Coturnix japonica: one gene and its partners. The protein of the gene in region 2 interacts with the protein of the main gene of each other region in a pairwise test. Links are inferred from orthologs where the notes say so. Each region holds a gene or a part of one and is shown on either strand. Other genes may lie near its edges. The genes, in order: SDCBP, HPRT1 and ISCU.

Region 1 (4,199 bases), on a different chromosome or scaffold from region 2:
ACCTTGAAGATCATCAAATCCAACCGCAGCCTAACCAGTACCCGAACTCTAACAACCCTTCACTAAATCATATCCCTGAGCACCACATCCAAACAGCTCTTAAACACAACCAGGGATGGTGATTCAACCACCTCCCTGGGGAGCCTATTCCAGTACCTAACTACCCTTTCTGTAAAGAAGTTCTTCCTAATATCCAACCTAAACATAAATCCTTGAGCTGCTGCTTCTTTACACGCAGACGCTGGGTTGATTTAAACAAACTAAAGATGATTAATTGCTGCAGTAACATAATAGATGTCTCTTCACATAACATTAATGACATCAACTGCTTTTCTACTTGCTCAGCAGAGCGCCCAGCAGCTCCAGTATCATGTCACACTACAATTAACATTTCCAAAGGGAGCCCAAAGCGGGACAAAGATCTAAACTACCCCAACAGAAGTGGCCACGCGTTTAGCATTATTTGCAACTGATAGTTTTTGTCAGGTCATTGCAAACAAACGAAATAGAATTGAGACCCAGAAACATTAAAAATTAAACAGATGCATTTAACGACAGTGTAAAACTTCATTTTAATGCAGCATTGACCTGAATGCCATCAATGCAAATGCTTTTGCTCCATCAAAAAGAACAGCATATGCAAGCCAAAGCCTAGCACAACGCACGCTCAGGTAAGCAGTCCCCAGCCACCTCGTTCTGCTGCTAAAAGCATAGAATGGCTTAGACTGGAAGAGATATTAAAGATCATACAGTTCCATTCCCCTGCAGTGGGCAGGAGCAGACAAGGACATCCATCCCACCTGACCTTGAGTGCCTCCAGGGATGGGGAAATCACAGCTTCTTTGGGCAGCCGTACCTCACTGCCCTCAGAGAGACAAATTTCTTCCCTATCATCTAACTTAAATCTCCCCTTGTTTATTTTAGAGTTCTATCTGCAGTAAAGCTACACAGAGCATCGTATTCACAGCAGCACAGACTGCACTCAGAGCCCATTGTAGCATCTGATGGGTCTCTGGTTCTGGCCATCATTCCATATCATCCCACTTCCAGCTGGGCCATCTCCCTACAGTCCACTCTCACCCTGCATAGCGATCACCAGTAACACCCATCACAGGCTATCACCTCAAAATTGCTCCTCATACTTTCATATTGGCTCTCCAGGCACCAAAGAAACCCCTCCAGAAGCTGACCCTGCTACTTCACCACCACTCAAGGCCACCTCCCTTCCCAACTGGAAACTTGCAAACCCTCGGGTGTGTCACAGCTCCCAATGAGTTGCCCTGCCAGCTTCCTTCTCCAAATCTCACTGGATGCTATTTTTGGTTTTCCAATAAATAACTGGAATAACGGTCACTGCTAACTGCATTCTTATCTCCTTACATACCAGCTTTGTTGCTCTTACAAAAAAAGGAGCGTTTTCTATTTCCACACAGGCTTTTCTAACAGTTAAATACGCACCCAACGTCTCATTAGGCAACATGAGATGCCCTGAAGTACTGTATTTAGTTCAAAACACAAACATTTAACAGCTACCATCATCGTCAGGGACCGCCGGGAACCTCAGGAAGAACCCATAAGTGACTCATAGCAATAATAAGCCTGAACACAAAGTCTGGGCAGCCACTGGAACGGCTTCAGACAGGAGCTGGGGAGCGGTTACCACACAGCGGGAGCTGCTCACCTCCCGTCCTCCCTCAGGAGCCTACATTGGCAGCAGAACCATTATCCGGTTGTTTACAGGTTCCTACAGCACATTAAGAACATATATATTAAGCTGAGGCTTTCATGAAAAGCACAAAAGCAAAAAAGGAAAGAAGAAATCCCTGTTTCCAAGTATCCTCAGGCCAGAAGGTCCTTCAGCAGGATGCCTGGCCAAGCAGATCCTATTGACCAAGGGCAGCGCCCAGCCAACAGGCAGCACTCGTGACACTCAGGCTGTGTGCAGGGAGTCCTGTAGGTAAGAGCAATCTGCTGACATGCAGGTTTGCATGAAGAACAACGGGCAGCCCAACACACTCCTTGGGTTGGAATCCACAGAGCTGAACGCACCCTGAGATCTAGCTAATGTCTGATCTGTGGCTATCACTGTCTCTGAAAGAGGCAGCTGGCAGTACCAGGAGCTGGAGTGGGGTGAGTAAAGGTAACTGGTGCCTGTGGCCACAAAACAAGCACTTGAATAGCAGCTTTGGCTTTCGGAACTGCTCGAAAGTTGTGAGGTTAAGTTTCTTCTCCAAACTTAGGAGTCACTTCCCGAAGGTCGGGTTGAGACAGCAGGAAAAGGCAGCAGCTGTTTTGCAAGCTGTGACCTCCACTAATCACACGGCGTTTTCCTGCTGATACCACCTAATTGGCCTCCGAGCGTTGCCCTCCTTACAGAGCAAAACTCGGGAAGGTGCTGCCTCCATTTCAGAGCTGAGGAAGGGCTCACCTTCCCACAAAGGCAAAACACATCCGTTCCACCTCCGGATCCCAACAGAAAGCGATACGAACGCCCAACCCCCAGGCTGAGGGGCAGGGGGGCTGACTGGGAATCAAGCCATACGCCGGGGACCCGCAGTCTGAACGGGAAGGAGCAGCACCCCAAAACCTCGAACACAAAGCAGAGAACAGCTACCAACGCACACAGCGTTCATTTCCTCACAGTGTGAGGAGGGGGCTCCTATCGGCAGACATACAATCCGGAGCCCCACGAAATGGCTGCTCGGGGCGCAGAGGCAGCTCCCCGCCCCCTCCTCACACAGCGCCGAGGAAGTCACGCCGCCCCAGACCCACAAAAGGCAGCGGGAGGCCGCCAAAAGGGAAAGAGTTCCCCCGTACCTCCGGTCCTGCCGTCGAAGAAGGGGTCAGCGCACAGAAGAACCGCAGAACCCGCACAACTCTGAGCCGCGCCGCTATGAGGGGACCGGGGGCGGTGGTGGAGCTGGCCCGGCTCTGCGCATGCTCTGAGGGCGGGGCTGAGGGACACACAGGGTGTAGCCGTGGCAGAGAAGTTCTGTGCGAGTTAGAAAGGCTTCTGTACTTAATTGCCGTAATCCACACGTATTCTCTGTGTTTATAGCATTGATCTGTTTACCACAATGTTCCATCTTGAAAAATCCTTCTTCGCTATGGTCCCCGACTTGTTCATCAGACAGGCAACTAGATGTGCTGAGCTCCCTGAATCTTATCTCCAGTTGAGAAACCTGGGTGTTCAATGAAGGTATTTCACCTTTATTGAACCTTCCAGCCCCACAGGAGGAGACCAGCCCCTGCCTTCACAGAATCACAGAATGACCCGGGTTGGAAGGGACCTCAAGGATCATGTAGTTCCAACCCCCCTGCCTGGCAGGGCCACCAAACATACACTTTTACTAGATCAGGTTGCCCAGGGCCCCGTCCAACCTGGTCTTGAACACCTCCAAGGACGGGGCATCCACAACCTCCCTGGGCAGCCTGTTCCAGGGCCTAACCACTCTCCTAGTGAAGAACTTCCCCCTAACATCCAACCTAAATCTTTCCTCTTTCAACTTAAAACCATTTCCCCTAGTCCTGCTATTATCAGCCCTTTCAAAGAGTTTACTCCCCTCCTGGGAGTAAGTTCCCTTCAGGTATTGAAAGGCTGCAATGAGGTCACCCTGCAACCTTCTCTTCTCCAGGCTGAACAAACCCAGCTCCCTCAGCCTGTCCTCATAGGGGAGGTGCTCCAGCCCCCTGATCATCTTCGTGACCCTCCTCTGGACCCTTTCCAAAATCTCCATGTCTTTTTTGTACTGAGGGCTCCACACCTGGACACAGTACTCCAGATGGGGCCTCACAAGAGCCGAGTAGAGAGGGACAATCACCTCCCTATTCCTGCTGATCACCCCTCTCCTGATGGAGCCCAGGATCCCATTTGCTTTCCGAGCTGCCAGAGCGCACTGCTGGCTCATGTTAAGTCTCTCTGCCTCATGTTAAGTCTCTCATGTTAAGTCTCTGCCTTCAGCTCCTTCCTTCTGCCCTGCAGCTGCCGGCTTCTCCTCAGCCAGTCATGGCAGTGCTCAGGCCCTCCTGTGGGACACCTCAACTAGGCTCCAGCACAACTCAAATACTGCTTTTGTAGTGATGAATTTTCTATGTAGCCAAAAGTGAATTTTCACAGAAGTGCAGTGAAAAATTTACAATACTTACACCTCAGAAGGGGGTGTAGTGTTTTGTCCTGCAATGAGCCCCTTGCAGTGAAG
Region 2 (2,560 bases):
GTCAGCAAAACCTGCTGGATTCATCTTAGGCACTTTGGGGAGTGTTTCAGGTGCCGAAATGTACCACCCAGTGCCATTTGGACATCTCCAGCAACTTTATTGGGCTCCACAGTGTGGGACGTGTTTTAACAAGAACTTAGCCTTTGGAATGGGGATAACGTGGACTGTGCACTTTCACAATGGAAGTGGAGTGAATTCAGCCGCAGAATCACATCCTCTTCCTTCTTCTTTCCAAGGCTGTACAGTACTGATGGAAGCATCTCAACACCTTGTTCCTTAGGTTGTCTTACAAGCCTCTGCAGTTGGACTGATGCTGCCCAACCATCCAAGGGCTATCTTGCTAGAGCTGTGCCTGTTATGCATTAGAAATCAATATATAAACCTATGTAATTTTGATTTAGTTGAATTTAATGAACAAAGAATGTCAGAAGTTCAAAATAACGTGAGTATTAAGCTGAGGATACTCGAGTGGAAGAAATAAAATGTTAAGCAGCTTATGCGTTGATAAAACTACTAGTCTGTGTAAACAGGTCTGGTGAACTCAAGGAAGTTCCTTTCTAATGTACTGGTGACTTATGTTCTTTTTTAGTTGTTGGATTTGAAGTGCCAGACAAATTTGTTGTGGGATACGCCCTCGATTACAATGAATACTTCAGAGATTTGAACGTAAGTAATTTTTCCCGTGTGTTTTGTCCATTTAAAACCAGGGAGGAGGAAGGAAGGGAAGTCTCCTTACGTTACTCTCCCTCCTCTGTGTAAATCGCAGCTTGTGTGCAAGGTCAATCCATCAGTGATGAGGGCAAACCTTAGAGCAGTGCAGCAGTGTTATGGAGCTCTGATAGATCTAATGGTTGTTTTGCTTCACGTGGAACGGAGGTGATGTACCTCCTGTTGGCCTTTGAAATAGTGCGGCAGTTCATGTGAAGTTTCTTATCATACCAGATATCTACATTAAATTTGCTTAGTTACATAAAAATTAAAGGAGAGAGACCTCAAAAGCCTTTTTATGCTAAGACACAAAGTCTTCACCTGGGTCTCATATGTCCTTATAATGGACACTGAGTGGGAGAGGAAAGAGAAGGAAGGCAACGCTGAGGTTTGTAGCCCAAAAAAGGCTGAAGTTTTTCTGCACAAACAGAATCAGGACACTCCTCAGGGCTGACACTTGTGCAGCGTGCTTTTCTTTCTTTCAGAAGCGCAGTATTGACTCTGTGCCTGAACATGAGTTTCTTACCTTACGTTTCTAACCGAGCTTTCAATGTTTTGTTTCAGCATATCTGTGTGATCAGTGAGACGGGGAAGCAGAAATACAAAGCATGAAAGCACAGCTGAAGTGCTATGCCTACAAAGCTTTGAAATGTTTTGTTTACCGAATCCTATCTCTCACAGGCTTCAACTCTGGTACACCAGCTGAAATTGTAGAACACCCCAGCCCCATCGTCATATGCTTATTGTAACTTATTGCATGTACAATATAAGAATCTCGTCTTGTTCATTTATATTATAGAAATGTAAACAACTGGTGCAATTCTGCACTCCTTATTTTGATTTGCACTATGACTCTACCGACTATTGCTGCCCCTGGTTGGGTTGTGCTGTTTGTGAGCTCCGGAGTCTTAACTCTTGCAGTGGTAAATTGCTTAAACCTCATCAACCCAGAACTGAAATAGTTCGAGTACTGTAAATGTAAAACATTTTATGATAGGGAAGTCTATTAGTAATATTTTTAAAGAAACTGTAATTTAAGTTTTATATTTTAATTCACAAATGTGATTGTGATTAAAGGATAGTTGCACCTTTGGGTGGTATGAAACATGAGAAGCAGCCAGTTACAGTATCTGTAATCTCCAGGGAGCCCACTGCCACCTCCTGGAGTTGCCTTATTGCTGTAAAAAAAAAAAGGAGTCTGGGTGAAAAATGATGTCTTTTTATTTTTTCCTTTATTCGAGATGGAATGACAAAATGGAATGTTTGAAGTTTAGCTTTAGTTGAGCTGCCTGTTTCTTTCAGATTATTATTATTATTTTTTCCTTTAAAAATATCCATCGGACAGTGGAATTGCCTTTGAAATTTAAACAGTTTTAATATATTTGTGGGGGGAAAAAAAGAAGTATTGTAATGTTTACTTTATAAGAACTACAAAGCAAAGTACTTTAAAATAAAGGCTGTCTCTTTAAAATACGCCCCACACATCTATGCCACTCACTGTGTATATTGAAGTGCTCTCAAGGTTCTCTTCTCAGCACATATTTCATCAGTGCTTCTGGCAGTGAAGGCAGGCTCCACGTCTGTTACCTCTGTAGAGCTTTCTGTCAATACAGTGTTGTCTATGGGAGATAATGAAGGCCTGAGGAAAGCTTTAGGAAGACTGGCATATGCTATAACCAAACTGGATTTCAGAGAGAACACTCAGAGTGCTGTCCCTTCTGTTTTGGCAAGAGTGAAGAGCGACAAATATTCCTTCATTAAACACATAACTGCGGGGAGAGAAAAGCCCAGCCAATTTGTAAGTAATTGTTTGGTTTTATTCCTGTCTTGTTTGTGTTGTAATGCTAACCAT
Region 3 (4,073 bases), on a different chromosome or scaffold from region 2:
CAGCCCTAAAACTACCAAAGGCAACAACAGAAGCTATCAGAAATAGCATCCAAAATCAGCTCCAGCAGCAGGTAAGGATCCCCTTCTGCCCCTGGCTTAGTACCAAGAGCACTGGCTGCTCTCTCTGCCCTGGAAGGGATGGGGGAAGTTCAGAAGACACCCCCAGAGGGCACAGGCTGACTCCTGCTCTTCCAGGGAGGTTCCCCTCAGTATTACATCCCAGTTAAGCTATTTGCATTCTGGGTTTGAATCCTCAGCGTGTGTTTAATCTCCCTTAACAGTATTTGGCAAACTAAAGGGTTGAATGCTTTTAAAAGATGCTCCAACATTAACCCTCCTGCTATTGGAGGATGTGAACACAAACATGTCCTGCTAACGCTGCTGGCTCTGAGCTTCCTGGCAACCAACTGCAGCTGCTGTTATTTGCTCACCTCCCACAGTCAGTGCCCTCTAGTGCCTGGTGAAGCATCCCAGCTCCTCCCAGAGAGCAGCGTGACGCAGGGGATAGACAGCATGTGAGAGGTCACAGATTGTGAAACCAAACTCCAACACAGCTGCAGCCAAACCACATGAGATTTATATATACTGTATTGATTGACAAAGTGACCCACATAAAGACCAAGGCAACCAAGTTTCCCACCAAACTCTTTGTAAAACATTAGGCAAAACTATACAGAAGAAAAAAAGTGCAGCCCTTCCAATGCTGGAACAGGAGGATTCTTTCTCTCTTGAGAAGCTACCGGGGGGTTGCCCTGAAGCAGAGCAGCCCTTCACTCTCACCATTTCAAAACCAATCCTGACAGGACACAGGCTGCTGAAATACCCACGTTCCAGTCATTTAAGCACTACCAGGGTGGCTGTACACACATGACCAGTGACACGTTGTGCGTTGAGTTGTGCGTATCTTACAGCTTCTTGAGTAGTGCACAGGATTCTATTAACAGCTAGAATAATTGCACTGCAAATTGAACTGGAATGAGGACAACCTCTACAGTCTGTTTAGGAATTAGTCTGCTTTCTGCTCTGACTCTCCTTTCTTTGGATCCTGTTTCAGTTTGTAGTCAGCCAAGGCAGCCTTGATTGCATCCTCAGCCAGCACTAGGGGAGAAAAAGAGCACAAAACAATGTCATTTACAAGCACTTTAAATAACAGTGACAAGTCACTTAGAACAAAAGATGCAGTACAAGCAGAAGCAGCCAGCAATAACCACCACTGTGGGTCAGCCTTAGCTGCTATGTGTGCAAAGCTTTATTTGGAGAACGTACAAAAGCATCTGTGTTCTCAAATAACAACGTGTTTGATGCTTTACTTACTAGAGCAATGCAGTTTGACCGGAGGAAGGCAAAGTTCTTTTGCAATGTCTGTGTTCTTGATTTTCAATGCTTCATCAATCTGAAATGTATGGGTAGGGTACAGTCATCAGTCAGGCATACACATGTACATATGATGCCCACACACCACGCAGGTATTTGATACAGGTGTGCTTCAAAGCACTGGAACCAACCAAAGTCACGCTCTGAGAAGGCAGTAAAAGCTGCTGATAGTGTTCTACCATAAGAAAGGCCTTTCAATAATACCTGTTTTATTCTGCTCCTGCCAAGCAACAAATCTGCAACCTACTACAGGGAACCTCCTTTGGCAGAGGAGCTGGACTAGGTGATACTCAGAGGTCCATTTCAACCCCTGATTCTATGAAATATAAGGAATGTCTCAAAGTGTGCAGTGCTTGTTAATAAACCAGAGCATTATTTTACTGCTGACCAACTGCAGGGACTGTTCCAGGTTTGTTCTGCTGTAATATAGAAACAACCTGCTTGTCACAATGCCAAGCACACGGAGATCAGCCAATGGAAGACATTCCACTATACAAGTGCTTTCTTTATCTATTTTCGATTGCTGTGTAGCACCCAAAGCTTCTTCACAGCTTATTGGAGACTTCCAGAAAAGGCAAATATTGCTTTAAAAGTCAGGAAAGATGAAACTGCATTCTGAGCTTCTATGTGAGTGTAACACCTGGAGAGCACCTCTCTAGACCCCTGTTTCCTTCCCTGATCCCAGCAGTGGGTGTGAATATGTACCTGCTCCCCACTGTGCCCCTTAAGCCAAGCCCTTACCGTCTTCCCTTTCACCCACTCTGTTGCCAAGGAGCTGGAAGCGATGGCAGAACCACAACCGAAGGTTTTGAAGCGAGCATCAACAATGCGGCCGTTCTCATCCACTTCCACCTGTGGGAGTTATCAGAGGGGCGCTCAGTTCCACGTAGGAACCACACACAAAGGGACAGCGATAGGACAGCGAGTTTAAGGCTGGGGGTTTATCGGATTTTAGGGCCTGCAGAGGGACTTTAAGGGACAATGAGTTTAAGGCTGGGGGTCTATTGGATTTTAGGATCTGCAGAGGGGCGTAAAGGGACAGCGAGTTTAAGGCTGGGGGTCTATTGGATTTTAGGGCCTGCAGAGGGGCTTAAAGGGGGTGTGACGGAGGAATCCTATGTCACAGCCATATGGTGGCAGACACTGATGGTTGTGTCCTTACAGGGCACCCCGTGCTCCCCTCACCTGCAGCTTCATAACGTCTCCACAGGCCGGGGCTCCCACCAGGCCCGTACCCACGTTCTTTGCGTTGCGATCGAGAGAGCCCACGTTCCGCGGGTTCTCGTAGTGATCCACCACCTGCGAGAACAACGTGTCACTAACAACCCCCAACGGGCACTATGGGCTCCCCACAGCCCTACCCGGCCCCTCTCACCTTCTTGTGGTAGCCCGCCCCCCCCACCGCCGTCGCCCCCCGCCCGGGCCGCAGCAGCGCCGCCCCCGCCGCCCTCAGCGCCGCCATCTTGAGTCTGCCCGCACCTGGCAGCGGCGCTCTGCCCCAACCCTCCCGAAGGACCCCTGGAGGCCGAGGCCCTGAGGTGTCCGTGGCGCTGCCTCTGCAGCAGACTAAATTATAAGGAGTAACGGGCCGAGCTGCTCGGCTTTTCGTGGCAGTTGGACGCGGAGAAGAGCAGAACCTTGTCGGGAGAGTTTATCGTCCTTTCTTTCACCGCTTTTGGCTGGGGGGAATGTACAATATTGAGACAGGCGCGCAGTAGCCAACCCCATCGGCTGGCTGAGAGCGGCCGGCAGCGAGGCGAGCTGCAACAAGATGGCGGCGGCGGGAGCCGAGGCGGCGGTGGAGGAGGAGAAGCGTGTGGTGGAGGGAGACCCCGAGTCGGGGGGGGATTCGGAGGATGAAGGCGACTCGGATTCATCAGGAGACGGCGAGGATGAGGAGAAGGAGAACGAGGCGGAGATCCAGCGGCTGGAGGAGCAGGTGGGGCCCGGCTGTACCGTGCTTTGGTTATGGAGATCTGGAAACGCCTCCGGGCGTGATGCCTTTTAATTCGCTTTTTATTCCTCGCTTCAGGGCGAGAGAGACTCAGGGAGCAGCCCTGGTATGTTGAAAGTGAACTCAGATGGTGGTTTCCTTAGTGATCTTGAAGGAATTAAAACGCGTTTGCTGAGGAGGGCTCACTGGGTGTTAGCGCTGTGTCTGTACTTGGGGGCTCTCGGGCCTTAGGGCTGTGAGTTCAGTCTTCTGCAGAACTTTAAAGCCCAGCTTTAGTAACAGGGATCTTCTATGAAGGGCTGCAGAGGTGGTCGGGGCCTGCAGCTTCTATTTGAGGAGCCCTGAGGCTGCCCTTGAGGCAGGAGGGAAGGCTGAGGGAGCAGCACTTGTCAGGGTAGAAATCGTGAAGATGGGGCCAGGTTCTTTTCAGCCATGCCCAGCTACACGATAAGGGGCAGTGGGCACAAACTGGAACCCAGGAAGTTCTATCTGAACGTGAGAAATAACTTCTTCGCTGTGAAGTTGACAGAGCCCTGACACAAGCTGCCCAGGGAGGTGGTGGAGTTTCTTTCTTTAGAGATGCTCAGGATCCACTGGGATGCTTTCTAATGCTACCTGCTGGGGGGAGGGTTGGACTGAGGGATCCTCAGAGGACTTTGCCTTTTCCTGTCACTTACAGTTCTGTGATTCTGTGTAACTGAGCAGGGAGGTGAATGTCTGTCTGTACTTGGCCCTGGTGAAGGCA

Evidence for each region.
Region 1: the proteins of HPRT1 (region 2) and SDCBP interact in binary tests that used the Homo sapiens proteins (3 or more experiments, as listed by UniProt). The two-hybrid records come from large-scale screens. The link is inferred for Coturnix japonica from reciprocal best matches to the Homo sapiens genes HPRT1 and SDCBP.
Region 3: the proteins of HPRT1 (region 2) and ISCU interact in binary tests that used the Homo sapiens proteins (3 or more experiments, as listed by UniProt). The two-hybrid records come from large-scale screens. The link is inferred for Coturnix japonica from reciprocal best matches to the Homo sapiens genes HPRT1 and ISCU.

The regions. Positions count from the first base shown.
Region 1 is NC_029517.1:101,325,154-101,329,352, reverse strand, and holds the start of SDCBP (syntenin-1), read right to left. Parts: upstream 2,949-4,199; 5' UTR 2,818-2,948; intron 1-2,817. UniProt on the Homo sapiens protein: Multifunctional adapter protein involved in diverse array of functions including trafficking of transmembrane proteins, neuro and immunomodulation, exosome biogenesis, and tumorigenesis.
Region 2 is NC_029519.1:3,926,141-3,928,700, forward strand, and holds the end of HPRT1 (hypoxanthine-guanine phosphoribosyltransferase), read left to right. Parts: intron 1-589; coding exon 590-666; intron 667-1,272; coding exon 1,273-1,320; 3' UTR 1,321-1,981; downstream 1,982-2,560. UniProt on the Homo sapiens protein: Converts guanine to guanosine monophosphate, and hypoxanthine to inosine monophosphate. Transfers the 5-phosphoribosyl group from 5-phosphoribosylpyrophosphate onto the purine.
Region 3 is NC_029530.1:5,668,584-5,672,656, reverse strand, and holds ISCU (iron-sulfur cluster assembly enzyme ISCU, mitochondrial), read right to left. Parts: upstream 2,849-4,073; 5' UTR 2,837-2,848; coding exon 2,750-2,836; intron 2,674-2,749; coding exon 2,560-2,673; intron 2,227-2,559; coding exon 2,116-2,226; intron 1,394-2,115; coding exon 1,315-1,393; intron 1,099-1,314; coding exon 1,007-1,098; 3' UTR 556-1,006; downstream 1-555. Other genes in the region: SART3 (squamous cell carcinoma antigen recognized by T-cells 3), read left to right, coding at 3,146-3,313.